4 linked regions of the Drosophila melanogaster genome follow. The protein of the gene in region 1 interacts with the protein of each later gene in a pairwise test. Each region holds a gene or a part of one and is shown in the gene's direction. Other genes may lie near its edges.

Region 1 (10,507 bases):
TGTCTGGATGCTGTGCGCTTTTTTGCAACCCTTCAGCCAACAACAATGATGATGACGGTGGCATTTGCTACCTGAGTGATTTCCTAAAGCACAGCTCCACTCCGCTCACCACCCTCTTCATCCAGTGCCACCACCACTTCCGGTTGCGAGTGGGATTCACATGCACATTCGAATGGCTGCACGTCCAGCTGGCATGTACTACCATTTCCATCTCCCGGGGATTGCCAGTCCCCGTTCGCAGCCACTCGATTACCCCTTTGTGCCGGTGCCGGTGCCGGCCAGCCTTCGTTAGCTTCTATTTAACATGCAGTTATCGTTTGTTATCGCCAGCAGCCACAAGCCAAGCTCCCACAGAAGCAGCTTGTCAACTGGCAGCGAAGTGAGGAGGGATGACAGTCCTCCGGATGCCCTGCAAATCCCTTAATTATATAATCGAGCCAGGCTGAGTCTGCAGAGTGAGTGACTGAATGGTAGAAGATACGAGTTCGTTTCTAAATCTATTGAGAGTAGGATTCTTCGCTTTCGAAAAACAAGGACCAAGTACACTTCTCGACCGACTTGGGCTTAGCTTGCACTGCTTAGGAAAGAAGGGCCTGTTAATCTCTCAAAACTCCAAATTCCACGAACGCAACTGGAGTGGGGTACATTGCCCACACCCTGGATTGCTAAACAGCCCACGGGCCTCTTCTATTGTTTCGCAGCTCCAATCGATGCCAATGCATTAACATTAAAACTTGGGTGCTGAAATTTTAATTAAAATGTGACAGGCAACTAGCGCACAATGAGCCCGCTCCAATCCCAATCGCCGGATATCTTGGCCTGGCCCTCTTGTGTGTGCGTCTGGCATAAAAATATTCAGCATAAGTGGCGGCCACCCAGTGATGCTCGACATAGCAGAGCTGCCGAGCTGCCGAGCTGCCGAGCAGCCGAGCTGGCAGCAATTGTGCCATTTCAATCGACATCTGTTACTGATTTCAAAGAAACTTTTGTTGACAACACAAACAAATGCCAAATGCACGGGGCGAGGGGCAGCAGGGATGCCGTCGCCTGGGGGCTTAAGGTACAAACCGTTTGACGCTTGCCTGCGCACGACTTCGGCCCACCGAACAGCGCCCACCGCCCACCGCCCCCCTGGCCAAGCTCTTTTGGCCCTGAACCAGACCCAGGACTCACGTGTGGCCCAAAGTGCCGCACAGCTGACGTTAACGTTATCAGCAAGCGGCTGTGCCGGTGAAATTGTGTGGGTCTGTTTTCATACCCAGCAATGCAGGATCAGGAGGGCATGCTCGAAGCTCTGAACTCTTTGCGAGGGTGCAAAAAAATGGCTAATAAAAAGTAACTACTTCTACCCATTCACCAAACGTAGATTCATTTACTTATAAAGCTCTAGCTGTGATATGTGAAGTGGATTCTTACAATGAAAACGAATTTCGTAGGTTAGTGTACAGGGTACCTTTCAGTCGCCACCCTAAGCTTTCTTCTTGCCTGCTCCTGGGCCTCTCCATTGCGAGTGTGTGTGTGTGTTTTTGTTTTCGCCGGCTACAAACAAAGTTGACTGAGGCTGCCAGTTTGCGTGTCTGCGAGCCTGCATTTGAAGGCTGTGCAGCAAAGGCATCTGACATGGAGGCACGAAGGAAGCCCTGTGTGTGTGTGGGTGTGTGTTTTCGGCGGCGCCATTGTCGATAATAACGATGGACTGAGCCCCGGGTCGCAGGCTCTTTTGTGCGCGTAACATGTGTCAATTACAGGCGCCCACACCCACACACTCGCACACTGGCACACACGCACACACACAGAGAGCGAGCGGGAGGAACAGGAGCAGCCGGCACGTCCAGCACACACCCACACACGCATATGCGCTCACTTAGTTTCGCTCTCACACCGTCGATAACTCAAAAAGCTGCCAAAAAGTGTGCGCACATTTTTTATATGCGCCGTCCGAAAGTATGCACATATTTTTTATATTTGTGCTGCCGGCATTTGACAGCTAAGCGACGCTGCCCTATGTTAATTTATTTTCACACAGCATTTGCTTTTTGTTTGCATGTGCGTCGGGAAGGGGGGAAATTACTTTCCGCCTCTGTTTTTGTTGGCGAATAAAAAATCTTAATTAAAAAATTTCGAATCGCTGTAACAGGTGGAAAGGCCAGCTGCTAAGTAGAACGGCCAAACTTTGCCTCTCCGAGAGATTTGGATTGCCGGGTGCTATAAATTAGCAGTTTCCACTTGTTACGTAGAAAGCTATTATCAACTTATTATTTGAATTACTTCTTTCTGTATATAGTTGCGATGAAATGGGGTTTGTCATTAATTATTCCATCAGATTGATTGTGAAAGCTAACAGCGATCTGTAAACTTAACAGCCGTTAAGCGATCTCCTATAATGATCATCATCATCATCATCATCAAGTTCTTCACTGAGTTTTGGAGGCTGTTCGTACATAGCTCTCCTCTCATTTTCCTCACTCTTTTGTGGTTCTATTGCTCTCTGCCGCTCTCCAACGCGAATGTCTGTGGCTATAAAAACCGGGTCCCCACCGCAGCAGCAGTTATTTCTCCGATCCGACGTCGGGTGAACAGATCAGTCGTGCCGCAACTGCAGCTATATCTTTACCTATGTGTTCTAATTTTCCGTGCCAGTAACCGTTCTGATCGTGCGAATAAAAAGTATGTCACTTGGGGGCGCTGCACTGGCATTGAAAAGTGAATTACATTGATCGTGACATGGGAATGGAAAATGTCGCCGAGCCATGTAAATCGTTTGGCCTACCCGTCTACCAGCCAACCAACCAATCAACCAACCAACCAAAACCTGTGCCAAGAACTGCGTGTGCGCAGAAGCGTTTGGGAAAACTCTGTGACTGGCATACGAAATAAGTCAAGGTCTTCAGCATAAGAAGACGCCAGAACATAAGTCATACTGGCGACTTATAGAGATAGCGCCCATTTCCCATCCATAATCGCGGGTAGCAATGAACTTTGAAGCCGGCACGTCACTTGATAGCTTCCTTAACCCATGTGGGCCCCATGGGCTCCGATTACATTACCTCGCCAATTATTCCCCTGTGCAAAACGTAACTGCATTATTAACAAGTGTTCCGACCACCTTTCCATTGTTGGCGCTTCGCGATAAGCCGGCACAACAAAGAGCAACAGACGCCGCGATATCAGTTGAGTTCAGTTCTGCTGCTCGCACCAGGGCAGGTTCAATGTCTGGCGCGGTTTTATCGACCGATTGCCCACTCAGAGGGGTCCACTTAGCGAGCCGACCAATCTATGAAATCGCACAGTTTAATGAAAGATTATTCACCTAGAGACTCGAAAAATTTCCATGCGCAAAGGTTTAAGGCTGCACTTTCTGTTGATATATATAATGTCGCCGTAATAAAAACATTCACTTGGGTCGTAGATGTTTGTTGAAATAATTAGCCGTTTTCCCACATAAAACGCTTTAATAATGATGTAAAAGTAATTAGCCGTTTTTCCCTAACGAGATCACTAGATAATATTTTTTATGCCCCTTTTTATATTGGCTTAAATAAGCTGTAGTCATCATCATAGACAGAGGGTAGTGTAATGACTACAATAGGTGGGGACATCTGGCTTTCCATGCCAGTTTTTAAAATAAAATTTAGACCCCGTACTCAATTGCCACTGCTCCACTTGGGTCCGAATAAATGTTTTGAGTGCATGAAGGGGATTTTCACAGCCTAAGCACTTGTCACTCCCCCACAGCCCCTCCTAAACCACACCATCCAACTGCTCATGGCGGCTGATAAGAACTTGCGGCCCACAAGCCATGTAGTAAATCGGTATCAGACAGCACTATGGTGCGCTTATCACTCAGTTACTCGCAGGCGGTTGCCCTAGGCACAAGTGGAACTGAAATCGGAAGGGTGGCATCCACAAAGTGCTCTATTTGGCCATTCCCTAGCTGTCACTAATCATATCCGTACGATTGAGCAATATCTGACTAACTGTTTCGATCATGTTTGCTTTCACCCCCTGCCCTTTGAAGTGAGCGAGAACGAGAAGCGTCCCGATCTGGAGGATCAGGATCAGGATCAGAATCAGGAGCAGGCTGGCGGCAGGAAAATGGAGATCCTGCTGGAACTAAACCTAAAGCAGAAGCTGGCCACCCGACTAGGCACCATCCTGCTGGCCACAGTGATCTTCGGCGCCTTTTGCTGGGACAACGCGTTGGCCAGTCTAACACTGGGAGCAGTGGTGGCTCTCCTGCTCAGAAATCCCACCTTCGTCTTTGCCTTGGTAATGACCGCGTCCAGGGACCTAAAGTGGGTATTTGAGTGGCTAATTTCGCGGAGAAACCCCCCAACTTCCGTTCTCTTTTAGGGCTTTCCAGCGATTCGTGGCCCTCAACATCTACCTGCTAAGAAAGGATCGCGGCGGATTCACTGTGGCCCGCTGTTTCCAGGACCAGGCCAGACGCCGCCCCAAAAAGACATGCTTCGTGATGGACGATCGCCATTTAAGCTTTGCAGAGGCTCTGGAGTTTAGCCAAAAGATAGCTGGATATTTTAGCGATCGCGGCCTGGAGAGGGGCGACTGTGTGGCCCTACTAATGGAAACGCGTCTGGAGTATCCCTGCATTTGGTTGGGTCTCTCCCAGCTCGGGGTAATCACAGCCCTTATTAACTCCAATCTGCGCGGGGAGTCTCTGCTGCACTCCATCAAAGTGGCCAATGCCAAGGCCCTAATTGTGGGCAGTGAACTCCTGGATGTGCTGGTATCACTTAGGGAGAAGGAGCAGTTGGACGAGGTGCCCATCTATCAGTACACAGATGACGAGGTTCGCGGGGTGGCTGGACATGATCTTTTGCCAGGAGCTGTGGACTTGGTTACTGCTCTAAAGACCCAAAAGAAACTGGAGCTACCGAGTGCTGTCTGTCCTGGAGAAGCTCGTTCCAAATTGCTCTACGTTTACACCTCTGGAACTACGGGCTTGCCCAAAGCAGCTGTGATCACCAACCTGCGGTTCCTCTTCATGTCTGCAGGATCCTACTACATGCTCAAGATGTCCAGCGACGATGTGGTGTACGATCCCCTTCCCCTCTACCACACCGCTGGTGGAATTGTGGGAGTGGGCAATGCCATCCTCAATGGATCCACGGTGGTGCTGCGCAAAAAGTTCTCGGCCAGGAACTTCTGGCTTGACTGCGATCGCCACAACTGCACTGTGGCCCAGTATATCGGGGAGCTGTGTCGCTATCTTCTGGCCACCTCCTACTCCCCCGATCAGCAGAAGCACAACCTGCGTCTGATGTACGGAAATGGACTGAGGCCACAGATCTGGTCGCAGTTCGTCCGTCGCTTCGGTATTCCGCACATAGGAGAAATTTACGGCGCCACCGAGGGAAACTCCAACCTGATCAACATCACCAACCGAGTGGGGGCCATCGGATTTGTTCCCGTCTACGGATCGAGCCTCTACCCTGTTCAAGTCCTGCGGTGCGACGAGTACACGGGTGAGCTGCTCAAGGACTCCAAGGGTCACTGCATCAGGTGTCAGCCTGGGCAAGCGGGTCTCCTGGTGGGCAAGGTGGACGCTCGGCGGGCCGTGAGTGCCTTCCATGGATACGCCGATAAGGGAGCCTCGGAGCAGAAGCTCCTTCGAAATGTCTTCACATCCGGAGACGTCTTCTTTAACTCGGGCGACATGGTGGTGCGAGACATACTCGGTTACTTTTACTTCAAGGATCGCACGGGAGACACCTTCCGCTGGCGGGGTGAAAACGTCGCCACCCAGGAAGTGGAGGCCATTATCACGAACTGTGTTGGCTTGGAGGACTGCGTGGTCTATGGCGTGCAGGTGAGTTTCAGATATTTCCGATTTCTTTTTATTTAAGTTTGCATCATAAATAATTGATACCTTATCATCAAATGGTGGTCAGCAAGAAAGAATGGAATCTGGCTTTAATTACCGTTTAATAGCAATCTGAAATGTGTTTATAGATCGCATATATAACTATTGTTTCAGTGTAGCTGAGGGAACTACCCATGTCGCTCTTAGTCACTGGGTTTCTGGGTTGTGCCATGTAGATAACAAACCACCTGAAACCACAAGCCGCAAACCTTGATTTTCACTATCGGCCCGCATATCTTTGCAGATCCCCCATGTGGAGGGCAAGGCGGGAATGGCGGCGATTGTGGATCCGGAGCGCAAGGTGGACATGGATTACCTGTCCGTGGTGCTGCGGGGCAGTTTGCCTCCGTACGCTCGCCCCCTGTTCATCCGACTGCTGGACGAGATTCCGCGCACCGCCACCTTCAAGCTGAAGAAACGGGAGTTGGCCAAAGAGGCGTATGACATCGGCCAGCTCTCAGATCCCATATACTACCTGAATCGGGACGGTATCTACAGACCACTCAGTCAGGAGCAGCACGAGTTGCTGCGATCGGGAAAGGCGGGACTCTGAGGATAGAGGTCCCTTTTGCGCCCACAATTGTATTCCAGCCAATCCTCTGTGTATATTGCAAAACGCTTGTCTGTCCCAATGTATTTTTAACGCTTAAACAACGACTGATTCCGAAAGACCAAAATACCTAAATGCCGAAATAGTGATAAAGTTCTTTCGCTGCTGGCCCAAAATGCCGGGCGCGTTTCTTGGCCATAAAATGGCAGCTTAACCGATAATGGGAGCCAATACGTTTTACGGCCAGAAGATGCTGCTACCGCCACAAGATATATCGAAAGTGTTAAATCCCCAAGATTAAGTTCTCGCTCATTGGCAGCTGCTGCAGTTGCTGCTGCTGTTGCTGCTGCTACTTTTACAGTTGCTGCTGTGCTGTTGCAACATTAACGCCATTTCCGCTCGCTTGCGGCAGCTGCGACTTCGTTGGCCGTCGCCTAAGATAAACGATGTGCAAAATCCATACAAAACAATGGCAGGAGCAGGAAGGCAAGGTCTTGCAACCGCAGCAGCGCAACATCGTCGACGGCCACCAATATCGATGTCGATGTCGATGGCGAAAAAGTTGTGGCAGGCAATCATAAAAAACGAAGAAATGGCAAACAAAGCTGGGCGCCATTTTTAAGGGAGCGAAAATGGCGATGGCGCGCTGCTTCTGGGATGCCAAAGGTTCTTGGATGGCTAAAAGTTGTTGCATTCAGTTCAAAGTGAGTCCTTTTCGATTTCGCTGGATCGTAATTGGTATGATATTTCACTTGGAATATATGCAAGCTTTTTAGGGTCCTGGAATGTGCTTTTAAGATAATGCTATAATGCCTGATTAAGATTACTTGGGCCGCCATACAAGGCAAACGACAAAGGTTTAGAAAGACACAAGCACTTGTTTCGGCACTGGGGGAAACTTCAGTTTTGCAGGGATCCCGGGATTCCAATACACAATGTAAAAGCCGGATGCCCAAAATACACATAAAGTTGCAGCTGCAGCAGCTGCCGAACTCCCCGGCCACGCCCCCCGCGCCACGCCCGCTGCGCCCTTTTCGCGACGCCATCGTCGATGTCATAAACAAAATGGCAGTTGTGGGTGCAGAAGTGCATGAATACGTTCGCATAGCTAATAACAATAAAAGCAACAACAAAAACAGCCATTGCAGCTGACACCAACAGGCAACATCGGAGTTGTTGCTGCAACATCGGTGGTGTTGTTGCTGCTGTTGCCAGTTGCCCCTGTTGCTGTTGTTGTAACTTCGCGTGCGCCTGGGCTGCGTAAGTGGGAAAATTAAAAATTTCTCAATAATTTTTCGAAATGTTCGACAAGAACGTCGCTCGCTGCTGGCATTGCTCCTGCTCCTTTTTGGGCTCATTTAGAAGGCTTCCGGGTGGACAGACGGGTGGTGGGTGGCAATGGGTGGCGATGGGCGGTGGAGGCCGAAGCTCGGCGACGGCGCCACAGCTGCCATTGGAATTCCAAAGCTATTAAAACGCTGCCAGTGGAGCTACGACCAAACGGCACCAGTGTTTCCGTTTCCTTTCCGCTGCTGCTGCTGTTGCTGCTGCTGCCCTTCTCCCGATTCACTTACCCTTTTCCGAAGAGGGGTATTCCAAATTGATTGCTCGACTTAATCTCGGATTTGGCTAGCGTTTTTATGGGCCATCTTCGGGCGGAGAAAGTGCACATGCGGAATATGAATTTGTGTTGCGTACTTCTGGGCTGGCTGTAAAATAAAGGTTTCCCTTTAGTTGGTAGCTTCTGTGTAGGAAGGAAACCAAATGATCTAAAAGAATTAATCATATTGCATATGCATAATCAAACTTAAAACTTATTTACAGAACTTAGAATCTGCATTTATTACAGGGTATCTGACTACTCGACATCCTTTTCGCCCTTTCCTTTTTGTGGCACTTGGTGTGGCTGCTGTTGTTGCTGCTGCTGCTTGCTACTGGCTGAATTGGTTTGGATCGCTCCGCTTCTGCTTGTATGCATTTGGGCTTAAAGGTTTTGCTTGCTTTTGTTTTTATGTTTCATACTGCCACCGCCATCGCCACTCCCCGTCCCCATCCCTTTTCTAGCCTGGGTCCTTGGCGAGCTTTGTCAGTTCGTGCTAATTACATTGCACCTGTGCATGACGTTTGATGTTGGCCTGTCGAGCTTCGACTGTCGCTTGTGTTTGTTGTTGGCCGTTGGCCGGAGAGAGCCAGTGTGTGTGTGTGTGTGTGAGCTTAGCTTGTTTGGTTTTGGCCTTTTTGGGGCGCTGACTGGGCTGCAGCAGCAGAAGCAGCAGCAGAAGGCAGCAAAAATTAATTAAAAGCCAACGTGCGGCGGCAATGCAATTAAATTCGATTTGGTCGGGACTCGACTGCCGGAGACTCGAGCTGCTATTGGTAGCCGGAGCTCAGCTGGACGGCTGTTGTTGACATCATTTAATACAACAATGCGGCAAAATTATATTTCACAAACGTGTGTTTGTGCAGGAGCGTCAAAAGTTCGCACAATGCAACACACACACTCGACATGCGGCCCCTGGCTTTGTGTGTTTTTTGTGCTTTTTGTTTGTTTTTATACGGAATTTCGGCTGGTTTCAGCTGTTTGTCGGCTGATCTGCCTATTTGGCTTGTGCCACTCCCCCTTGCCACACACATCAGCCTTGCCGTGCACTGGTGTGTATGTGTGAGCCTTTTGATTCGTGGCACCTTTTGGATTTGACAGTTTCGTAATTAACTGCATTCGGCTGGCCGGGTGTGCTGCATACTTTCGGGGGGCGCCTCAATCCGCATTGGCATTTTGTAACGCAATTACTTTTGCCGGCGCTCCAAAACTTTTTCCTATTCATTTCAACTCGGCATTGATGTCGGATTCTGGTTTCGGGATTCCGGATTCCAGGAACGGAAAGTTTACCTCGAATCATGTTGATAGGGAATACGTGACAGCTTGCAGCAGAGCCAGTGGACCGCAGGACGCAGAGGACACACGTGTGTGCGTCGCATTCTCCGGATTTTAGCCATTTCACCCGCCACCATTTCACTTTGAAGGCCCACAGCTGGCTCGTCCTGGCCAATCCGCTGTGTTGTTTTTTATGGGGCCACCGCTTTATGCGCCCGCATATTAAACAATTATTGCCAAATGGCGAGCGACAGCTGCGTTGTGTCGCCGATGTCGTTAGTTGGTGGGCATTCGTGGTGGCGTCTCCTGGCCTTCTGCTGCTCTGGTGCTCTGCTGCTCTGGTATCCCGGCTGGACGAATAGCAGGAGGCCTATGCTGTGCTGAGCTATTTTCCCTTTTTTTTTTTTTTTTGTTTTAACCATTTTTACCAAAGCAGGACATGGCCAGTAACGTGGACCACTCCTGCAACGTGGCTTACTGGGCAGAGCTTGCGTTCGTTGGCTCTCTTTTTTCGCGTTTCAGCGTCTGCTGCAATTTATGTGTATAAATGACAAAAGTACCGTTATTTATGGCCAGCAACCGCAACGCAATTTGGCAACACTTGTTGGCCAATTGGCCAAAATGTGAAGGCGGCAACTCAGCTGAGCGAGCAGCACTGTGTCCCGTTCCCCCGGCAATATAATGTTGATATGTAGGCGAGAAGCAACATCTACATATCCACGCAATCACACATATTACCAAATATGAAAATTCAGGAGGAGTTAGGCACCATCATCTTCATCTGATGGATTTTCGAATTACCTGGAAATTAAAGAAGAGTGACTCTTGTCATTAACCAGCTGTAGGCTTTTCTCGAGAAATTTAAAAGAAAATCCTATAGTTCCCTGATTTAACGAGTTTAACGAGTTAGCTTTAAATGAGGGAGAGTGAGCGTCACACTCATCCTACCCCGATTACAGGGTATCTGTTCAGAGGAACAGTTGCCTTCACTGTCAACGAACATTTTTGTGCGCTCCGTGCGAAATTTGAATTTTTATTGCTGATCGAAGCCTGCAGCACATTATATGACAAGGCCTCCCACTTTTGCGCCCCCAAATTATGCGTATTAAGGTCGTTTTGTGGGGTAGTGGGGGGTTGCTTGATAGCTTGTTGCTGACATAAATCTACTGCTCCTTGGCCCGTCTGTTTGTGTAAATGT
Region 2 (7,426 bases), about 14 Mb from region 1:
GGCTAAGTCATCCTTATTGGAGTTAGAATTGGTCTAGTTAAGATCTGGATTTGTTTGCAAAATGTGAATTATGTCAAACGTCTGCAATTCTCAATGGTTACATCTGTTTTTAACATAATCATGTTAAATGTGGCTTTTTGTCCCAAGAACGGTTTTAAAGATAATTGTGTACTTTCTTTACTTGACTGTTTTGGCGATTTTGTTAACAAAGAACAACATCCATTTCTGCATGCATAAAAAGTATCATTTTAATAACGTTAAATTAAATTGGTATTCTTACAGATTTGTATTTCATTTTACGTTCATCTTCAGCGATATCATTGATTTTCTTCTTTATCCACTCATAATATGAGGAAGTTTTCGTGTAAACCGCTGGCCCATATCCGTAACTGGAGGGTCCCCCTCCGTAGGACGTTATTCCGGCTAGGTAATAAAATTGATCAGCACCCCTGCCCACCGAAGCCATCAGCGGGCTACCGGAATCTCCCAGTCCGGTGTCGGTGCCATCCCATCCCATGGCACATATCTGGATGTCCTTATCGACGAGCAGTGTTGGATACCGATTCAAGCATTCATCCGGACTCATTCCACTGATGGTGCCTTGGCGAAGTACGGTGCTTTTTTGCTGCAGACCCGAATCGCCCCAGCCGGCAATTTGAAAAGGGAAGTTTTTGAAGGAGGAAGTTGACAATTCAATGCCAGGCCAAATGCAAATGGGTCTGATCTGAAGAGTGTATCTGAAAGAGAGGACATCGATGGGAAAATGTGAAAAGAGGGAACCCCAAAGAGCACACTACTTACTTCACCCGACTCTTCAGACGCAACAGAGCAATGTCGTTGTAGTGTCTTCCATTTCTCGTGTAGTACTGCTCGTGCGGAACCCTCAGATCCACATCGATGTCCACGTGCGCTGGAGCCCATATCTTGGCTCCATTCGGCAGCCAGGTGTAGTCGGGATCGTTCTCGGTGTCATGCTCGCCCAGGCGCACACGTGCCACGTAGAAGTCATTCACATTCAAACAATGGGCTGCCGTCAGCACATAGCGACTGGCGATCAAGGAGCCCGCACACATGGGAGACGGTCGCTGCTTTGCTGTGTAGGCTTCGTAACCCAGCAGGACTGTCCAGGGAAACTGGTTGGACTGTGCCTCCATGCCGCCTACGATATATGACGAAGGAGGACTCTGTCCGCAGACCCTGCTATCTGGTAGTTTATCCCCTGCAACCATCGGGCAGCAGGTAAAAACCATGTGCACTAGCTCGTGGGCAAAAGGATTAATGTTGCATAGTTTGTTCCGGTACTGTGATTTTTGATCGTTTGTCATGTTCCGGGGATGTAGAATCTTCATAAGAGGTTCACATTTGCTCAGTGGGATGCAAATCTCGTCTAGTCGGCAAAAATTGAATTTTGCTAAGGGGGGTAACAAAAATTGACCAATTAATGGAGCTCAAAATGGCCGAAAATAGCATTTGTAACACTGTATGAAATCCTATTAAAGATTGCATTTTCCTGGTAAGACTATAGTTTTGTGTAGCGAAATCAACCCAATGAAGTTCCAATTTTGTAATTATAAGGTATTAATTATTGTTGAGACCAAAAATAGATCCGTGAGCTGCCAAAGTATATATTTAACACTGACACTGATCCGATGAAATTGTAGATATGTATATTGTATTGTAGTTGCCACTATTTACCAAATTGGAAAGAATTCGCCAAGGAAATCGCTTGAAGCAAAAGTGCCAAATAAAAATGGATCGAGACCATCTTGAAATGTCAAAGCCTAACCGAATACTGAATTCAAAAGCCAGTTGGTCTTAAAAGTTCAAGCTTATCTCGATTGCTAAAATGATTCATGGCACGATGTCCAATCCACAACTTTCCTTGGGTTAATTATAATGGCCTGCCTGTCCGTCCGTATGAATGTCGAGATGTCGGAAACATTAAGAGTAAGGAAGCATGTAAGTTTTCTTTAAAACCGTGCCACGCCCCTGTTACGCCCTAAACTCCTAAAACGCTCACATCCTAAAAGTCTTCTGGATACCAGGAAACGTTCAAATCCTACTACTTTTAAACATATCAAAACTGTAGTAATAGATTGATCAGAGCTATATCCTTGCTACACGCCAAATTATTCAAATTCTACATATCCATATGTTGCAGGTTCATAAACTGAGTAACAGGTATCTAACAGTCGCAACACTCGAATACATTCACAGGTTTTTTGGAAATGAAGGACACCATCACCCTGATACCGCGTGACTAGAACGAGATTTATTTTTTACTTTCTCCACAATCCCAAAATACCGTTGAACAAAAAGATGATAATCAATTTCCATCTCCGTAAACAAATATAAATCCATTCTGAATATTTCAAGACACAATTTTTTTAAGTTAAAATCAAAAATCTGATTCATACCGGAACTGTGAAAAAATACTTATCACTTGTGTCACACCAGCAATATGTTATGACGTCAAAAATCCATATCTGTAAATATATCTAAGTTAGAACTTTTATTATATAGTCTATATTCATAATGGTAATGCAAATGAAAACTCTCTTAACTTCTAAAACTCTTTGTTGGTAAATGTAAATAGAAATGTAACATTTAACCTGAGTGTGTATACAAGATACAAGAAATATAAGATATGTATGTATTAGCCAGAAGACCTGAGAAAAATTTAATGGATGTTGTGTTATCCGTCAAATAAATTGTTCAAAAAATATTTAAAATATCAGCGCGATTCTTACCTGTTACTTGTAAAGCAACGCAGACTCTTAAAATTTCTTTCGTTACGCCTACTTATATAAAAGGAAATTAAAAGAATTGCTTAATATGTTTGCTTTGTTTGGCCTTGTTAAAAGAAATAATAAGTAATTCTGTGATGAAAACATTTTTAAGCAGAGAGAACTATATAGTCCAGTTCCTCGACTATCAGATACCAATTACTCAGCTGGTGGAAAAGTTCAACATTCATTTTGGCTTATCTATACAAATTGGAAAAAAAAATAATAAGATGAAAAATAGGCAAGTAACTTTTTAAAAGTGTGGGTTTGGTTTGGTTTGGGCGCATCCAACATATCTTTTGCCATACTGATAACAAATAGTAAAATTAAAAAATGTCTACACATAAAAGTGAAGACGTAGCAGATTTCAGTGTTAAAATGGGCGTGGTAAAAGGTTTTTGGCATAGCTCTAGAAATTGGCAAGACAAGTAATAAAATGAAAAAAAATCGATTCATTTTTTTAAATTGTGGCGTTGCATCATCAGAAAGAAACTGAATTTCTAATCTTAACTTTCTAGCTTTAATAGTTCAAGTTAATAGACAAGGATATCAAAAATATATACATTTTTAAACGAATCTAGTATAACCATCTACTACACGAGTAATAGGTAGAAAAATATAATTGTTTTGTGTAAAAATATCATTAAAAAATAATTCAAATGTTTAGAGAAAAAGTTTTGTATTAAATGTTTGATTGCATTCAGCGCTTTGGATTTGTTTTCAGTTGATTTCGAGAATTTGCGCACTCGCAACTCTGGCCACACCGCACGTCACGGCAACGGCAATCCTAGAACTATCTGCCACATCAGATTTTTCAAACTTTGTATACTGTTTCTCAAAAGAAAACGATGTCATAGCAAATTAAGAGTGAATCGTAAAATCAACATCGAAAGTGTTGCCGCCTCCATGTAGAAGTGACCCCGCTAAAGTCCTCGCCGCTTTACAAACGCCGCAGCATCCTCAAGACAGTTCTTGGACCAAGTGGAACGAATCCAAAGATACACATAACACTTGTGGAACGCCCACACTTGTCGAAAGAAGAATTGTAGATTGCAGCGAAGACGTGTATCTAAGATAAGTGTTAGGACGAGGTTGGGAAAGCACAAGCAAAATGGCACACACTGGCGGGAACCTATCCGGTAACATGCAGCCGCCACCGCCTTCCGGAGGCAGGTTCTCCGTGGACATGCAAAGGTGAGTAAACCGTAACAAGGAGCGAATAGCTAATTACTCTTGAACCCTGCAGCCTGCCCTCGCTATCCAACCTGCCATCACCGCTGCAGATCTTCCAAATGGTCCGAAACTCCCTGCGGCCCTGGGTAGTCTTCTTCAACATCAACAATTTCAAAACGGCCATCAGCATGCAGCGGCTAAATAGCCGGGTTATTCGGAATCTCTCCTATTTTCAGGCCAACTACGTTTTCATCTTTTTTGTACTGATGATATACTGCCTGTAAGTGATTCTAAAAACCTTATTGCACCCCATTTAATAGTTATAATCTTAAGCATCACGGCTCCCTGCATTCTGCTGGTCATCCTGGCTTCCGCTTTTGGCTGCCATAAGCTGCGCGTGCGCAACAGTAACATTACCATCGTGGGACAACAACTGACGCCCAGCCAGCAGATCATCGCACTCAATCTGGCGACGGCACCAGTGCTATTCCTGGTGGGCGCGGGTGCGGTTTTGTTTTGGACGCTGGGTGCTTCATGCTTCGTGATTGCTATGCATGCTATATTCTACAACATCGATGCTATTGTAACGGAGGAGAATGAGGGTTTCCTCGCCCAGGTTGTCTGACCGCCAGCCAGAAGCTAAACCCTAGGTCTTCTGGGATCGTGGCAACCAGGGACGAGGAAAGGGGCTAAACATATTCGCCACTATGGGGCCTTGCAAGTCGACACAATATGTTGTACACCTATTTATAACGAAATCTAGTTAAGCCGCAGACTTTAAATAATCGAAATACACACTATGACAGATTCATACGACTATATTCTTTTTGGCAAATTAATCGCAATATATGAGGCGCATTCGCTGAGAACTTCGATTTAATTCGAAAAAAAAAATTAATTTAAAGGATGTGGTCAAGTCATTGGACTCTGTGGCACTTACAATATTTCAGATATTTTCGAGCTCTTTAGAGGCATGCGTTTTAAAAATGTATTCTTTTAAATAAAGAATAAATATAAGTAACCGGAAAAAAATCGCATAGTCGGTTCTCCAAAAGAAGTTTCCATAAATAAGCTGTTTAAAATACATTGAACAAACGGCTCAATAAATCAACTAGAAATACACCACGATCGGAATTCTCTGCGATATGCACCACAAGGAAGGTAAATAAAGTTACCTAAAGTACACACATATACATAGCTCGCGTAAAACTAAGTCGGTATTTCAATGAGGTACAGGTAGTTAGAACTAGGAATGCTTTGTTAGCTGCGTAAGTCTTGGTCCTTCGCCTAGGCGTACTGGGCACTCGCCAGTGTCTTCGTCTCCTGCTCCTCGTCGCTGGCCTGCTGGTCCAGCTTCTCGAATCCGTTGCGATCCCGATCGAGAAGTCCGCCCAGCTTGAAGCCATCGCTTTTCTCCCACGCGTGGCGACGACCGCGTGCTCCGAAAGGCAGGCAACCTGTGGGATATGTTGGTACAACTGATTAACTAACAATTACCATGGGATTTATATGAGCAATAACACTAGTCACCCCATTCCCTTCTTAGTTCATGCATAGATCTGCGATCTGGCGTGCACTGGAACAAACCAAAAACGAAAACAGAATACACTTAAGGATAAACGTAAATTTTGTTTGTATGCTTATGTATTTTGTATAAAAAGTTGTATATAATTTGTATATAAATGCGGTATAAATTTTAATTACAATAAAGTTGAACGAAAAGTAAGCCAACGAATACAGAACACACAAGAAGTGGACATGCTGTGTAATTAACGACACCAAAAAAAGCGTAAATAGGGAGATTCAATTGTGGATACAAATGTAAACAGGTTGGAGCTTATAAGTACAGGACACTAAATCAGTTAAGTGTGACAGCACAACACAGGACATTGAGTGAGGAGTTAGCACTACCGATCAGCCAAGACTCTGGGTGGAAGCAGTCAGCTTTCGGTACACCAAGTCACTGGGCGTAGCGGAGCTGTTCGCTTGGTTACCTCGTTTCCTCCGCCGCGCAAAGATCAAAGCCAAGGCAAAGGTAGAGCCGGCGAAAAGGAGCATGAGCGAAGCCACCAGGATTGCTTTGCCGCTCGGGTGGTGCACAGCCACTGCGGGAACCTGGTCCCCTCCCACAGCTTGGCTAATAGCGCTGTCCCTAGAGTCCTTGCTGGCCGACAAGGACATTGGCTTGGCCAGAGATCGGTGGACGAACTTGTGGATACGCATTGGATTCAGCTCGGCCACGTAGATCTCATTGCCGTCGGCTGTAACGGCCACGTCGTGCGGGTTCTGGAACTGCAGGTTATTGGGGCCGAACTTAGACACCAGTTGCTTGCTGCGCATGCTTAGCACGAAACCGTGCACCTCGTTATAATGCTCAGGATGGATGCCTAACTCGGCGGTTGGTCCGTTGACAATGACCAGCTGCCCACCTGTAGCGGAAAATGAATACATTTAGGGTTGAGATTTGTACAAAAGATGCTCTGTTATGGTAATGTGAATGATAATGCAACATTTTAAATAGATGCTTAACCGTCGAAAGGTTCTTATGACACCTCATGAACACCGATACCAGAAGAAGATTTATCCACTCACCCGCTGCCGGGGTGTAAGCCATGCTGAAGAGGCGGTCCCCTATCAGCTGGTTGTGGTACTGTGAGTGAAAGGTGCCGTTGCTCGAGAGGAAGCACTGTACGCGCCCATTCTCCCTATCAGCTGCGCAGAGTAACTGCAACTCCGGGACGAGAGTCAGAGCGTGGGGAATCGCGAAGAAGTTCTGGGGCGCAACGTCGTAGGATATGCCGGAGAAGGTGTTCTGTCCCCAGAAGAGGATCAATTCGCCTTTTCGTGAGTACTTAAGGATGCGAGCATTGCAGTATCCATCCGCCACGAAGAAGTCCCCATTATCCAACACCGCCACCGAGGTGGGCTTGCAGAATTTGCGTCCTGAACCGGGCTGGAAGGCATCGCCCAGAGTCAACGCTGGTTTTCCATCGCCTCCACGGGGCGGGAACTTAAAAACCTGGTGCATGGCGACGTCTGTTAACCAAACGTTGTCTTCGGGGTCCACGGTCAGGCCATGTGGCATGTAAAAACTGTGTGTGAGATGGGATTTAATTAGGAAGGGCATACTTATAAGGCTGTAGAAGTACATTGCTATTCTAGTGATTACTTAAATTTAGATATGCCTTCAGAATTTCACAGCCGAAATTAAAATCTTACAAAATACTTTTGACTATGTGTTAGAACTTTTGAACTTACAAATGCAAAATGCTTTTACTACCGATTTAATTTAACTTCACCAGATAATTTAAACGAAAAATGAAGTAGGTATTATACAAACACAAAACAGCGCGGCCATAAATGAGTACTGAGAAAAATAAAGAACGATATCCTAGACAATCAGTTACCCGATACTCAACTAGTGGGGGTTCGGTGGAATTGTGGGCAGGGCTTAAATGTTTGTGGCA
Region 3 (7,024 bases), on another chromosome or scaffold:
CGGTGACCTCCAGCTGGGACTGATTGACCTTGCTGGCGGCGTGGCTAAGCATCTCCTGGCAGGCGGTGTCCAGCGTCGACTTCTCGCCCAGACCCTGTTCGGCCAGGTAGACCATCTCCTTGGCGGCGGCATGAATGGACTTGGCCTTCTCGTGGTTGGCGGCGGCCAATTGCGTTTCCTTGGCCAACTGGGCGGCGTAGATGCGAGATTCGTAGTACGGCTTGGCGGCATCAATCGAGTTGCCCAGCTTGTGGGCGGCTGCCTTGATTCTCACCACACTTTCCGCCAGCAAACGCTTGAATTCGCACTTGGCCTCCTTTTTTTTTTGGTTTGTTTTGGGACAGAGATCGCAAGCAATAATGGTAAGTAACTGGGGTAACTGGGGAAAAATCAATACTCGCCCACTCACATCGAGCTCCACTTCGTATCGGTTGATGTTGTCCGTGGCGGAGTTCAGCTTCTCCAGCTCCACCTAAGCGGGCTCCCGAGGATTAGGTTGTTTGGCATATGTAGGTGTATGTATGTATGTGTGTAGGTGGTACCTACCTGGACCCTCGGATCCACGGGCGTGTTGCTCTCCGTTGACATGGTGCCTGGCTGATTTGTGGGGGAGGGGGATTGGGGTGGTCGATTCTCGGGTCTTGCCTGGATTTCACCGTGGAGTTGCCGTAATGGATGCAGTGCAGCAGGGCAGCGGGGCAGCGGGCTCGTTCAGTGGGTCAATTGCATCTGGGAATGCGATTCATTTTCCACGGCACATCGCGAATAGCAAAAGCAAAGCAAATCGAATCAATCGTGGAATGGAATCAAGCGAGCTTTTGCAGACACAATTATGACAACACGCTCCGGAGCTTTTGCGTTTGGCAAGCGCAAAAAGCTCTGGTCAGCTGCTTTTTACCGTTGCAAAGCGCGTAGAAACTATCGTTATCTTCTATTCCTAGGCAAATATCGATAAGTAAATAAAAAAAATTTCTCAGTTATTACGAATATATTATTACGAGATATCAAATAAAAACAAACAAATTTCTTTTATTCACTTGCGATTGGAACTCAGAATATGGGCGGTTCCCACTGTAATGCCATTATCTCAAAAACTGTGAATAATTATTCTATAAAATTTTCTGAAATGTCCTTAAAGAAATTACCTTTAAGGTAGTCTATTCAATTGCAATTCTTTTTAATTGCATATTTTATATACCTTCTTGAGTCCTATAAACTTAAGTCGTGGTAGATAGTAAGATTAATCATTTTTATTTTATTCGAATTCACCGCCAAACGAAAAACTAAATAAATAAAATAATGTAAAATTCTAAAGCAAATTAAAATTAAAAAGAACTGCCACACTTTTCACTTTCCATCGTTCCACGAGCAACGCTTAGTCATCGCCGTTTGCTTGACGCGCTCACGAAATACTGGAATCGACGGCGCCTGGTCACACAGCACCGATTGCACCTAGTGTCATGTGCGTGCATGTGTGTGCGTGTGTGTGTCAGTGTGTCGTATGAATTGTGGCGACCAAGTGCGCGAATAAAAATAAGTAAATAAATGCACATTGCGAGCGACGGTGCGTGTGTGCAGGCGCCAGATGGTGCACTTGGATGACCCCAACAACGAGTGACCCCGCTCGAAACGCATTCGAAGTTCGAAATCCGAAATACCAAAATCCAAAATCCAGAGACAACAGCCGCAGCAGCAGCAGCGGCAGCGGCAACAACAAAACGGCGATCGCTCGCACACACACGCACACACAGGTAGTAATCCGAACGGTAAGTTGCGTTCCAACTGATAAAAACTTATCACACCCCCCCCCCCCCCTCGAAAATAACGTGAATGGAAAAGATTCGATAATTCGAGTTTTGCTGCTCCACTTGTCACCTCATCTGTTTCCATTTGTCATATATTCATTTGCTCCAAATTCCGCTTTCTTTCGTTGCTTGCATGGCACACAGACAGCAGCGGAATAACGGTAAAGCTAGCGCCGACACCCACCCCCCCCCTCCCCGCCAGACAGGAAGTGGTGAATAATTGAATATTCCAACAACGTACCACCGACTAAATAATGGCCACGGGCGGCGGTGGCAGCGGCCACGGGGGAGCGGGATCCGCCGGAAATGCTGACCACCACAAGCGCAACACCTTCACCAGCTATGTGGCACCGCTACCCGGAGATTTGCGCGCCACAGCGGACACGAACGAATGGTGCCTGCCCAGCGATTTGAGGGACGTCCATCTGGCCAAGCCGCGACTGCTGCACGGCGAGCAGATAGTGGCATCGGCACCAGCCTACATGTACTCACCGATCGATCCGATGGACAGCAGCGGAGGCAGTGGCTCTACGCTCAGCGCCATATCATCTGCGTCCGGTACGCCAGCGGATCGTCATCACAAAGAGGCCACCTTCGGACTGTTGAGTGTCACCAATTTTAAGCTGGCCTTTGTGCCGCTGCATGAAAAGCGTAATCAAGCGATCACAGCGCCACTGATCGATCTATATCAGGAGAATACCTATTTGGGCCGCAATGAGATTACGCTAAACAACATCGATCATATCTATACCATTACCGAGCTGGGACGGGCGGCCAGTGCGCTGCAGGCGGCGCGAGGCATGGCCAGCCATGCGGGCATGAGCAGGCGCAAAAAACTGGAGCCCTTCAAGCAGCAGAACATCAGCGGTCGCATCGCCGCCCTGCATATCGTGTGCAAGAACTTTCGCCTGCTGAAATTCGCCTTCCAGCAGCAGGATTCGAAGATGTTTGGGGCCAGTGATCAGGGCAAACTGATTGCCTCGGCCCTGGTGCGTTTCGCTTATCCAATGCGGCATGATCTGAGCTTCGCCTATGCTCATCGAGAGCCATACTATTCGACACTGGGCGCATCCGGCACTAGTATGTATGCGACGAAAAACGACTGGGCCAGAGAGCTGATACGCTGCGGCGCCACCGAGTGGCAGGTGGTTAGCTGTGCCAGTGTCCAGCTGCTGCAGAATCCCCTCCAGGCGGGCAAGTACACTGTGCCGCCGCATTTTGTCATACCGAAGAGCTGCAGCGTGGATCGATTCCTGGATCTGTCGCGCGCCTTCTGCGATTCACGAGCTGCCTTCTGGGTGTATAGCTATGGGAGCAGCGCGGCACTGGTCAGATTAGCTGAACTGCAGCCGGCTGCGCAGCAGGACACCAAATCGGAGAATGTGATGCTGGAGCTGGTGCGCAAATGTGATGCGGGGCGACAGCTGAAGCTCCTACAGCTGACGGATCGCCTGCCGAGCATTCAGGATGTGCTGCGCGCCTATCAGAAGCTGAGGCGCCTATGCACGCCGGAAACGCCGGAGAAGTTTATGCTGCAGGATGACAAGTACCTGGGACTACTCGAAAAGACCAACTGGCTGTTCTATGTGTCGTTGTGCCTACGCTATGCTAGTGAAGCGTCTGCCACGCTGCGCAGCGGCGTTACCTGTGTCCTCCAGGAGTCGAATGGCCGTGATCTCTGCTGTGTGATTAGCAGTCTGGCGCAGCTATTGCTCGATCCGCATTTCCGTACTATCGATGGCTTCCAATCGCTGGTGCAGAAGGAGTGGGTGGCCCTGGAGCATCCGTTTCAGCGACGCCTGGGTCATGTCTATCCTGCCCAGCCGGCCGGCGGTAATGCCGAACTATTCGACAGCGAACAGAGTCCAGTGTTTCTGCTCTTCCTCGATTGCGTGTGGCAGCTGTTGCAGCAGTTCCCCGACGAGTTCGAGTTCACGCAGACATACCTGACCACGCTGTGGGACTCGTGCTTCATGCCCATCTTCGATACCTTCCAGTTCGATACGCAGGCCCAGCGACTGAAGGCGGTGACCGACTCGCAGCTCGTCCTGCGTCCCGTTTGGGATTGGGGCGAGCAGTTCTCGGACAAGGACAAAATGTTCTTTAGCAATCCGCTGTACCAGCGCCAAAGGGGCGATCTTGGCGCCCAGGCGGCTGCCGTGGCGCATCGCAGATCCCTGGCGGTGGGTAGTAAGGGAGCGCATGGCGCCGCTAGTGGTGTCACACCCTCGCGCAACACCATCAATCCGCAGCTCTTTGCGACCGCTTCGTCAGTGCCGCAGGATCGTTACCTGCAGCCGGCACATCGCATCTTCGATCTGCAGGTGTGGGATCAGTGCTACTACCGCTGGCTGCCCATTTTGGATATACGCGGCGGCGGCCAGCCGCAGGTGGATCTCTATCATCGCCTGCTGCTGAGCAACATAGCAAAGGTACAGCGCTGCCTGGATTATCAAAACTTTGACGATCTACCCGATGCGTATTACGAGTTCGCCGGCGAATCGCGTCCCAATCAGCACAAGGACGAGAAGCCCGACAAGGAGGACGAGGCCGAGTTCGTCGACGGTGTGGAGCGGCGCAGGAAGCCGACGGCGAAGGCCGCCACACCCACTAGCGGACTCACATCGGTTACCGGCAATCTGCAGCTATCGACCCTGTCGTCGTTCTTTCCCTTCGGGAATCCCATCGCCGGAGATGCACCGCTCCAGCTGTACGACATTCTGAGCAGCAGCAGCGAGCTGCTGATGGAGACCTCATCCTTTCTGGACAAGTCGTCCATTGTCTGATCCGCACACAAATCGGAGACACCACCACACACACACTCGTTCCACTTGTTTATTCAAAACGCTGAACTTTCGAAGTATTACACAAAAAACAGAATATAATTTGAGAAGAAGAAGAAAAAACACACACACACACACACACACAGAGGTGCAATTTCCTCACATATACATGGCATATCGCTTTTAACACTTTTGATTATTGTTAACTAATAAGCAAGTTATGGTATAAGTTTTTTTTTATTTCGTTTTACTACCACCAAACTGCATTGCATCGCTGCATTATAAAATTAAACGTAAATAATACGATTAACAAACGTAACGACAAGCAATTGATGTAAAACGAATTCAAAACACAAATCCGCAAAAACGAAAACGTACGAAAACACCAATTAAATCAATATGTATTATATTGTATGTAACTAAATATATGAAAGACTATTGATCGATATGTATATTTAAATAAATCAAATGTGTAAAATCAACAAAATGTGTTCTGATTGCGGCAACTTTTGAGAATTAAACGAATTAGGAACTATGAATATATATGGGTGAGTCAGCAAAAAAAATCGCATTAATATGTAAGCTTATGATTTTAAATTGAAGTGGATAGTTGGATAATTGAAAAGATAAAATAATTGACTAACAGTTTGGCTTTCGAAACGATTTGTGTTTGCTATTCTGAATAATTTTGGGTTCTTAATGTAACTCAATAAAAAGTTTAAGATTTTATAATTTAAAAAAAAGGAGCCATATAAGGGTTAACATAATTACAAGCTTCGATAAATAACTGTTTAATTCCCGATTTTTATTTATGATTTCATTTTATAGTTCGCTTGGACTTTCAGTTATAATCATAGCACATAGAAGTTATAATGAATTTATAAATATGCTATTATTATAATTTATTATTGGCACGAGAAACTAGATTAAACACTCAGCGAAATGGGTAATACAAATACGTTCAAGGACATAAAGGATTACACAATGAAAATCATTATAATTACAGAACGGAATCATGAATCTCAAAATAAGAAGCTATCAACAAGAAATGATAAATATTTGGACTTAAAGCATGAAATAATGGAAGTTAAAGTTGAGAATCTGGCAAACAACCGCATTTTAAAAGCAGAAAAGGATGCAAAGACTGCAGATAAACTCGACAATTCAGAATATTTAAAGATTAATCAGAAAATGCTTCTAAATGAGAACCAAGATATTGAGATGGAAAATCAGGTACCAAAGGATCTGGAAAAGCAAACTGATGAGTATCCCAATGAAGAGCAGTACGTCGGGAATCAGTTGCCACTTAGAAATCCCGCTCAATCGACTCCAACTCGTCCAAGTCGCGTGATTCCACCAATGCCATCGGAGGAAACGATGCGCCACTCCATAGCCGACAACCTGATGGAGATCCTGGTGAATATGACTAATCCGCAGCATCGACAACAGTGCTTTTCCCTCTTGCAGGTGGACGATGCTCTGCAGGCACGCAGTCGAATCCTATGCCTCCTGCAGCAAATCGACGAGAGGCGCAGGACGCGCAACTGAATTCATCCTATAGAATGCTTGCTTACATTATAATGGTACTTTTACAAAGCCTGCTATATCTTAATCACAATCATAAATGAGCGCCTGCGATTATATGCCATTGGCTGCCATTTAAATCACACGGAACAACGCACACCATTGTCGTTATGAGTTAAACATTTAATAATAAAAACGTTGCGTGACTAACAGATTTAGGAAGGGAATTTGATCTTTGGGCGCTCTTTTTGAATCATCACTTAGCCTTGTCGTCCTGCTGCTTAGCCTCCTCCGCTTTCAGCAGCTCCGAAATGATGCCCGCCTTCTTGAGCTCCTCGATGAGATCGCCGCTCTGGTGCATCTGCAGCAGGATGTCGCAACCGCCGACAAATTCGCCATTGATGAACACCTGCGGAATGGTCGGCCAGTCGGTGTAGTCCTTGACACCTGCACGCAAGCAATAAGGTTTAACGCTGGCACGCTAATGCATATGTGGAGCGTACTCACCCTGTCGCAGGGACTCGTTTTGCAGCACATCGTGGGCATCGTACTGGACACCGTGCATCCGCATAATCTGCACCACCGCATTGCTGAAGCCGCAGCGTGGCGCCTGTGGGTTGCCCTTCATGAAGACGACCACCTTGTTGGTGCGCACCAGCTTGTCCATTGTCGCCTTGTCCACTGCCGCGCCGGTGGCCGCATCCGCCGCAAGAAAGCGGGTGAGCAGGGATTGCGGTGCTGTGGTGGCGAGAATCTGGTATCTCGGATGGCGGAGACTCTGGCAAATTCGGTTCATCTTGACGGCAGCGACTTGGTCGAGGTAATAATAATATTAGCAATATTATCTAATAAAACAAGTGCTGTTCAAGTGTCAGCTAAAAAGGTATCGATAGCTCGCTCGAGTGGCGACTG
Region 4 (7,710 bases), on another chromosome or scaffold:
GTGGGCATTGAGGGCAGCTGGTAGTAGCGCTCCTTGAGTATCAAACAGATGCTGAACGGGTAGGAGAAGCACACAACGCAAGTGGAGAAGATCTGCAGAAAAGATTTCGATCAGTAATTGTTTCTTCTTGATCATTTTCATACTTACCATATAGCCGTACACCGCACTATCTGGATAAATACGTGCATTCATCAGAAACCGCAATAGAGCCAAAACCGGGAGCAGGAGCAACAGAAAGAGTTGCATCGCGAACAGTCGTGACTTGGAGATTTGCGTGGGATCCGTAATCCTGGTGGCATACTTCCGGTACATCAGCAACTGAATGCTGCCGAAGAGCAGAAGGAATCCACCGTATACCGCCGGTCCCACGGTGTCCATGAAGCAATGCGAGATGCCATGCTGCGTCCACACCTCGCTGAGGGTCACGTTGGGCGGGCAGTACAGCATGGTGAAGTCGGTGTACCTGCGCGGCGACGAGGAAAGGCAATTGCGGAACGATAAGCTCTGATAGAAACGTGCCAGATAAAGTGGAGCTGTCACTGGGAAACAGCTCGGTGAACACAATTGCTTTGTTTTATGGGCTGGCGGCAATTTCGCAATTATTCACCCAAATTATCAGACGCCCCCAAAGGGGAAATCACTATTTTTTTCCTCCGGGTAAGCGGAGTGCAGATTGTGAATTGATAATTGGTGCCCTTGCAGCACGGCACCAAGAGATCCGAAATACCCTGGAGTCCGGCAACCGTGGAAACTGCAACTCATCCAGCCCATTGGATATGCTAAATTATGCAATGTTGCGTATGCTCGATTCGCCGGCGGGTCTAGTGCTCCCCTCTTACCCGCTATAAGAAGTCGCGATCTGGTGGAAACACCGCAATCAGTCGTGTGACAGGTGATAACTCAACTAATGGACAACTGGCGGGCAACTCCGACCCAATCACCACCAACTACGATCAACATAAATAATTTTGACCCAAGGGTTCGGTATGGCCGTTTCTGCTTACACACAACATACCACATACACATTGTACAGTGGAAACAGGTGAGATTCATTTAAATGAACATAGCTTAATATATAACATTTTCGATTGCTATAATAAATTCAGGGAGAGTTTGTTTAAGTGATTTAATTTTAAGCTATCAAAGGTTTAAAGTAATTCTCTTATCAAATTGAAGGTAACAAATTTTCTGGAAACGGTCACGCTAGCTTTCAGCCCTGGTTTTCAGCTTGGCGCCCAGTTTTCAAACCATTTTCTTATCAGAATTTGCGATTACTTTACCATTCCTGGTTTTCAACACACCATCTTATCAGAAATTGTGATTATTTCAATATTCCTTGTTTTTAAAACCCTATTTCGACATACTGCGGGTAAAATATACAGATTATATAGATTTCTTTATTCGTCAATTCTCAAAATAAATATTCAATGTTCATCTAATACTTTACATTCAAGAAATTTTCACAAATTGTCTACGCTTAACCTTAGGTAATAACTAAGCTAAGTTTTTGAGTTTGTAGAGAATGAATATTCAAAGCACAAGGAACAAATTGATTGGGAGTAAGTTTCTATTTACATCTAGAGTTGCCTTTTTTGTTTTTATTTTTGTTTAATTTGAGGTTTGGTTAAATATAAAATTCGCTACTTATGAGTAAGGGGATGGGGCGATTAAAACCTAGGAAACATTTTAGAAGATTTCCCGTACGAATTTCGAATTTGATTCGGTCGACTATTGACTAACCACTAACTTGTTCAACTTGGGTTTAACTTATTATCACAAACAAGTACATTTAATATGCATATGATTACAGTGAAGAGGGAGTCGACTCCCCCCCATACAGCTATGAGTTGATCTTGGCCAGCAGTGGCTGGGTGACGGCACTGCCCGCCACCGGTGGGCACTGCTGCTTGTAGCTCTTCACCAGGAAGCCGTAGTGGCTGCTGTCCGCCGGAATGTTCTGGCCACTGCCGCTCCGTTGCGGACTGGCGGCCACCATCTGTGGAATCGGTGGAGGAGCAGCCAGCGGCGGCGGTGTGGGCAGCAGTGGGGTCTCGTCTCCTTCAGCAAACTTGATCCTCAGCTGCCCACTGCCCATGCTGCCCGTTTCGGGGCCTGGGGAGGCATTGGCCTCACTCCTGGCGCTTGTCAGCAGCGTTGAGATCGTGGGCGAGGGCTTCAGCCGGGTGCGTTGGACACCCAGTGGCGGCGGCTGCAGGATACCGCTCAGATTGGAGCTGGAATTCGAGTGCACATAGCCGTGGCTATTGTTATTGAGGTGATGGTGGCTCTTGAGTGCTCCGCTCAGCGGCAGCCGGAAGTGTGCCAGCTCCCAGCTATCGGAGGTTTCCTCCATGTCCCTCAGACTGCGGCTGCTGTAGATGTCGCAGTTCCTCTGGGCAGCCGCCGCCGTATCCAGATAGTGGTTCTCAGTCTTGTGATAGTCAAAGCCGCCGCCATTCAGCTTGGGTGAACTGGAGCTGATCTTGCGTTTCACGCGGAGATTGGGCGAATCCTTGGACGGCGACGGTGGCGGTGGCAGAGCGATCGCAGGTGGCGGTAACTGGGGTGGTGGCGAGGCCACCACTAGTTCGGAGTACTGCTTGTGAAGATTATGCGATTGGCTGCGCTGCGGTTGTTTCAGTGAGGAGCGACGCGTGAGCATCAGCTTGCTGGGCGAGATCAGGGAGTTGGGGCGGGGTACCTCGCCCTCCAGCCAGTAGGTCAGCATCTCACCTTTGCCCTTCATGGGCACAAATCCGCGGCGTGTGGTCACAAAGGTGCCGAACTCGTCGAGCGCCTCCTTTGTGGTCTCACTTATGTGGATCTTGAGCGCTTCACCATTGGACTCCATTCGGGAGGCAGTGTTCACAGTGTCACCAAACAGACAGTAGCGTGGCATCTTCAGGCCCACCACTCCGGCCACACAGGCACCGGTGTGCAGGCCTATCCTTAGCTTCAACCGATCCTCCGGACGATGGTGGATGCGGAAATTGTGCACCGCCTCCAAGAGGGCCAGTGCCAAACGGGCGATCTCCCGGGCGTGCTGATTGCCATTTCGAATGGGCAGTCCGGACACAACCATGTACGCATCTCCAATGGTCTCCACTTTGTAAACATCAAAGTTCTCCACAATGGAATCGAAACAGGTGTACAGGTCGTTCAGGAACTGCACCACCTGCATGGGCGTGCTCTCCGCCGAGATGGCAGTGAAGCCCACGATGTCACTGAAGTATATGGTCACCTGGTCAAAGGTCTCCGCCACCACTGGCTGTCCGCTGATGAGCTGGGCGGCGACGCTTTGCGGCAGCAATTGGTACAGCAGCTTCTCGCACTTCTTTTTCTCCTCGTGGTAGTCCTGGGTGCGCTCCTCCACCAGTTCCTCCAGATTGTTGGCATACAGTTCCATGCGCTTCAGCAGATTGTCTACAATGTTTCCCGTCTCGTTGTCTCTGTAAAGCAGTCAAAGTTAGTGAGGAATCCATAACTATGGATTCAGTTAGTACTTACTTATTAAATCTGCGTATCATCGATTTCAGGGTATTAAAGTCCGGACGCTCGGCAGGATCCTCTGCCCAGCAGCGACGGATTATGCCATTGATGTCCGCCTTGGTATCACCGTTTGGTTCAAGTTCAGGACGGAATGGTTTCTGCATTCTATGAGGATTGTATCCCTTCACGAGTTCGATTATTTCTGATCGTACGACAAACAAAATAACGTTGAATTAGCCTTCAATTTGGAAATAGTTTTGTGTAAACATGTTATGTAAATTATTCGTGTTAAGTGCAGTTTTATGTTAACACCAGACTGGATCCTTTGGTGGATTCCGAATTCGGACATCTAAACACCGTTCCGCAATATGAGCACGGGAATGGAATATCTGGACTTGGTCAGCTTCTTTGCACATGCAAAGCCTCCGAAACCCCAGGAAATGAGGCCTTGCAACCAGCACGAGATCCTGCTGCAGCTCATCTGCAATCGCCGGCAATCGCTGAGCAAGGCCCAAATGGCTGATCTCCTGTGGAACATGACCAGTGGTCCGAAAAAGAAGCTCAAGAGAAGGCAGTGCGGCGGCATGGACAACCGGAATCCATCAGAACCGACCGATATTGAGGTGGTGTTCGGGTGCAGGGAGAAAACACCACCTTCCACCATTTCGCACAGAGGCTGGGAAAGATCACGCATCGAGTGGCTGCGCAAGCTGGAGGTTCAGCGGAGGCAGTGCTACCAGGCGTGGCAGGAAACACCCGGACCCGATGCCAGCATCAACGCAGGTATGAAGTCCAGCAAGAAGGAGAAGGAATGCGGAAAATCCCCAATAAAGAACACGCCATGCGAGAAACACAACAAAAACCAGAACCAAGCCGGCGGTAGAGAGAAGGACAAGCACAAGAAGAAGACCAGGACCAAGAGGAAGCTACCCGGCTGCTGGGCCTTCCTGCCCTTCGGATGCGGCTTGAACCTCGCCAACGATTCCAGCTGCCAGGACGTGCCCCACCGCAGAGAGAGTTCGTGATTTGCCTTTTTCGACCAGCCAGCACTTTGATTTCGATTTCCAGATTCGCTGGCACCGCAATTAAATTCGCCTACAGACGTCGTCTAGTGCCAGATGCCAAAGTTGCATTCTGCGGCCTAAGGACGAGTCTGATTCCCAGTCACGGCCTAATTTGATGAAATCGTCAAGTGCCAAGTAGAAGGCAAAGTTTTTGAAATCGGCGCGGAACTCGAAGTTGGTCTGCGGTTCAACAGGGCAATGTGTACTTCAACCAGGAAGATAGAACATCATAAAGGCTAGCAACATACATACTTCAAAATACAAGTACTTTGGGTTTCGTGCTTGATGCAGGATCTTTAATTAAATAGAATTGCTAAGCCGAAGGCTCCTATTTTGGTACATTTTTATTAGCAGAACATTTCGCTGACTACTTAATTTGGTCTTTTAAGTTCGTTTATAAAATGATTTGAGTGAATTAAATTTCAGCATCCAACTAATTTTTTAATGTTTACCCTGTTTAAGATTATACAAAAATATTGGCATTGGACACGGGCTTTCACTATTTCGACTGCGTATTTTGCAGTGCTCCTCCTTGCTCCTCCAACCACAACCGCCTTAACCACCAGCCGAGTGGCCAACTGACGGGCGAAATAACCGCAACATGTGCAAAAATCTGGCATTAAAATTCCGCACAGACAAAATCGGCCGCAACACGAAACGGCCAAGTGAAAAGGACACTCGAAGGACGAGAGGAGGGTATAGAATGTGAAACACTTGAATAGCATACCTTGTGGCGATTTCTCGTACGCACATCTGCCCAGGTAGAAGGGTCCTTGTCGCGTGGTTATCTCGTGCACAATGATTCCAAAGGCGTAGACATCACCCTTCTGTGTGCCCTCCGGCGGACGATTGTGCTCCACTCTCAGCAGTTCGGGGGCTGTCCACAAGAGCTCTGTACGGGAAAATAAGTTACATATATATTTAAAATATATTTCGAAACTTGGAAAATAATATTAAATAAAAAAATTTACAAGGAAATTCTTGCTGCATTCAATTAACTTTTTGTTCAGTGCACTGCACACAGTAGCAAACTGGGACTACTTACTGCTCCAGTAGGCGTGGCTATTGCAGTTGCCCCCATCACTTTCCAGGTCGAATCTCGTCCGCCGCAGGGTGTGCAATCCAAAGTCGGTGATCTTGAGCACAAATCGGGAGTCGACCACGCAGTTCGAGGACTTCAGGTTGCCGTGAGACCGAATGTCGGAGCTGTGTAGAAACTGCATTCCACGCACGATGTCGTGCATCAGCGACAGGCGGAACATCCAGTCCAGCTGGAACTGCTCGTTCTCGAGGATATCCTGCAACGAGCCCTTGGGACAGTATTCGGTGAGCAGGAAACTACGCCTCTGATCCAAACACGCGCCATAGAACTTGACCAAGTGGTCGTGCTGCAAGTCCTTCATCCGTTTCAGTTCCAGCATTAAGCTGCGAGTCAGCAGGCCCTGAACGTTGTCCACCTCCACTGGCTTGATGGCCACTTTGCTCTTGCGGAACATGCCCACTGGTATGAAGATTTGGCGATCTCCGTTAATGGACACCATGTCCTCGGACATCAGTGTCAGCTGGGAGCTTTGCTTGACCAGCGAATGGAAGGAGCCTCTCAGGCCACGCTCCGCTGCATCTCGGAACATCACATCCTCCAGCGACACCTTCCAGCTCATCGAGTTAATCTCCGCCTCGGCGATGTAGTGACGATAGCCGAAGAAGAAACACACGGCCATTACGACCACCATGGTGCCCAGGACTATTGACAGGATTGCATACCCAGGAAGTGCTGAAATTAGACACATACATCGGGTTACCATATCTGTATTCAAGAGTTTTCAACGAGAATGTTCAATCCTGACTTTTGTGTCTTGTATCTTTCAACAGGCCGAATTTCATATCATAAACCACATTAATTATATTATTATTATATAATTTGCAGTAAGTATACTTACAATTATCGGGGCATAGGGCGCCATCGTAGCCGCAAATGGGTCGATCTGGCGGCGCCTCCTCCCGGTCGCCCGCCCAATGGATCTCCTTGTTGGCCTCGAACTCCAGGCGATTGTGCAGGAAATGGGCCACGATCTCGAATCGGCCGGTGGTGGGATTCATGTCCAGCAGTGAGTAGGCCGAAAGCCGGTCGCCGTTGGCATCGATGGTCACATTGCCGGTGATGCCAGTGAAGCTGCGATTCCACATGCGACGCACCATGTCGGTGCCGTTGATGGGCCGTGTGAGCATGGTCGGATCCTCACGGATGCTCTCGTTCAGGGCATTGGCGTAGAGCAGGACCCCGTCGAAGAAGGAGGTGACGAATGCTGAAATCGGCTCGTTGTCGCTAAAGGTGTAGTTGTATTTCTCTGCGGCAATGGCTTTGATCTGCAAATGGCAACGGGCAAATCGAAACGTATTAATCTCTCTGCAGCTGAGCTATAAGCTTTCCCTCTGCCCTTTCTAATCCTTATGGCTCTATTCTATGCCGAGGGGCATCAATTCCTGTCCGCTTTCCTGGCACTTTTCCCCCCTTTAATTGCTTTGGCCCCCGTGAAAATTCAATTACGCGTTCGCTCGCTCGGAACGAGGGAAGAAAGGACGGAAGACGATGGCTCTGGCCCAGGACGTTTTGTCACAATCCATGTGGAAGTTATTGCACACCGCACTCCGATGTGCCAACGGCGGTTTTCACTCGCCATTCTCCTTTGACAAGCGGCGATGCTGGGATTTGGACGGAGCAGCGCTTGCAAATGTCCATTGAGCGTAAGTTTTCTGCCAAGAAAGCCGACAATTTAAGCTGCAATCCTTTAAGGATGCAGACGTAAAATATAGATGGATTGTATTGTATGCCAGGTGGTTAACTGAGTACTTTCAGCTAGCTATTGCCAACAAATTGAAATCTCAATTATTTCGAATCAAATTTTTAAGGAATGTGACAAAATCAGACTATTTAAAGACGTTAGTTTTGTATCAAACGGCTTATTAAGAATATGTCTATAAATATGCGTGTATACTTAATAATAAAAACTACATGTATACCCTTAATCTATTAGCTTTATAGATTTTATCCTTCCATGGGAATATTTTTGGGAAATAATGCAAGCTTTTGCCATGCAAAAAGCCCTCCCCCGCTTAGATATATACCATATTAGTATCTTAAATGCTAGCAAACATT

Evidence for each region.
Region 2: the proteins of Fatp3 (region 1) and CG1418 interact in a two-hybrid assay, tested with the Drosophila melanogaster proteins (one large-scale study listed by BioGRID).
Region 3: the proteins of Fatp3 (region 1) and CG14410 interact in a two-hybrid assay, tested with the Drosophila melanogaster proteins (one large-scale study listed by BioGRID).
Region 4: the proteins of Fatp3 (region 1) and CG9632 interact in a two-hybrid assay, tested with the Drosophila melanogaster proteins (one large-scale study listed by BioGRID).

Annotation. Positions count from the first base shown.
Region 1 is NT_033778.4:24,291,555-24,302,061, forward strand, and holds Fatp3 (fatty acid transport protein 3), read left to right. Parts: upstream 1-2,542; 5' UTR 2,543-2,666; coding exon 2,667-2,667; intron 2,668-2,676; exon of another isoform or gene 2,677-2,777; intron 2,778-3,844; exon of another isoform or gene 3,845-4,018; coding exon 4,019-4,295; intron 4,296-4,353; coding exon 4,354-5,830; intron 5,831-6,128; coding exon 6,129-6,437; 3' UTR 6,438-6,557; downstream 6,558-10,507.
Region 2 is NT_033778.4:9,961,188-9,968,613, reverse strand, and holds CG1418 (uncharacterized protein), read left to right. Parts: upstream 1-3,546; 5' UTR 3,547-3,897; coding exon 3,898-3,980; intron 3,981-4,032; coding exon 4,033-4,239; intron 4,240-4,292; coding exon 4,293-4,584; 3' UTR 4,585-4,779; downstream 4,780-7,426. Other genes in the region: CG12133 (uncharacterized protein), read right to left, coding at 263-737, 802-1,349; Pal1 (Peptidyl-alpha-hydroxyglycine-alpha-amidating lyase 1), read right to left, coding at 5,247-5,416, 5,954-6,388, 6,552-7,051.
Region 3 is NC_004354.4:14,831,195-14,838,218, forward strand, and holds CG14410 (uncharacterized protein), read left to right. Parts: upstream 1-5,530; coding exon 5,531-6,136; downstream 6,137-7,024. Other genes in the region: CG14408 (uncharacterized protein), read right to left, coding at 1-316, 410-472, 547-588; CG14411 (uncharacterized protein), read left to right, coding at 2,060-4,591; Grx5 (glutaredoxin 5), read right to left, coding at 6,369-6,559, 6,620-6,908.
Region 4 is NT_033777.3:15,856,491-15,864,200, forward strand, and holds CG9632 (uncharacterized protein), read left to right. Parts: upstream 1-3,705; 5' UTR 3,706-3,857; coding exon 3,858-4,514; 3' UTR 4,515-4,988; downstream 4,989-7,710. Other genes in the region: Hmt-1 (heavy metal tolerance factor 1), read right to left, coding at 1-92, 148-447; CG31183 (uncharacterized protein), read right to left, coding at 1,841-3,449, 3,508-3,691, 5,281-5,445, 5,599-6,327, 6,494-6,920.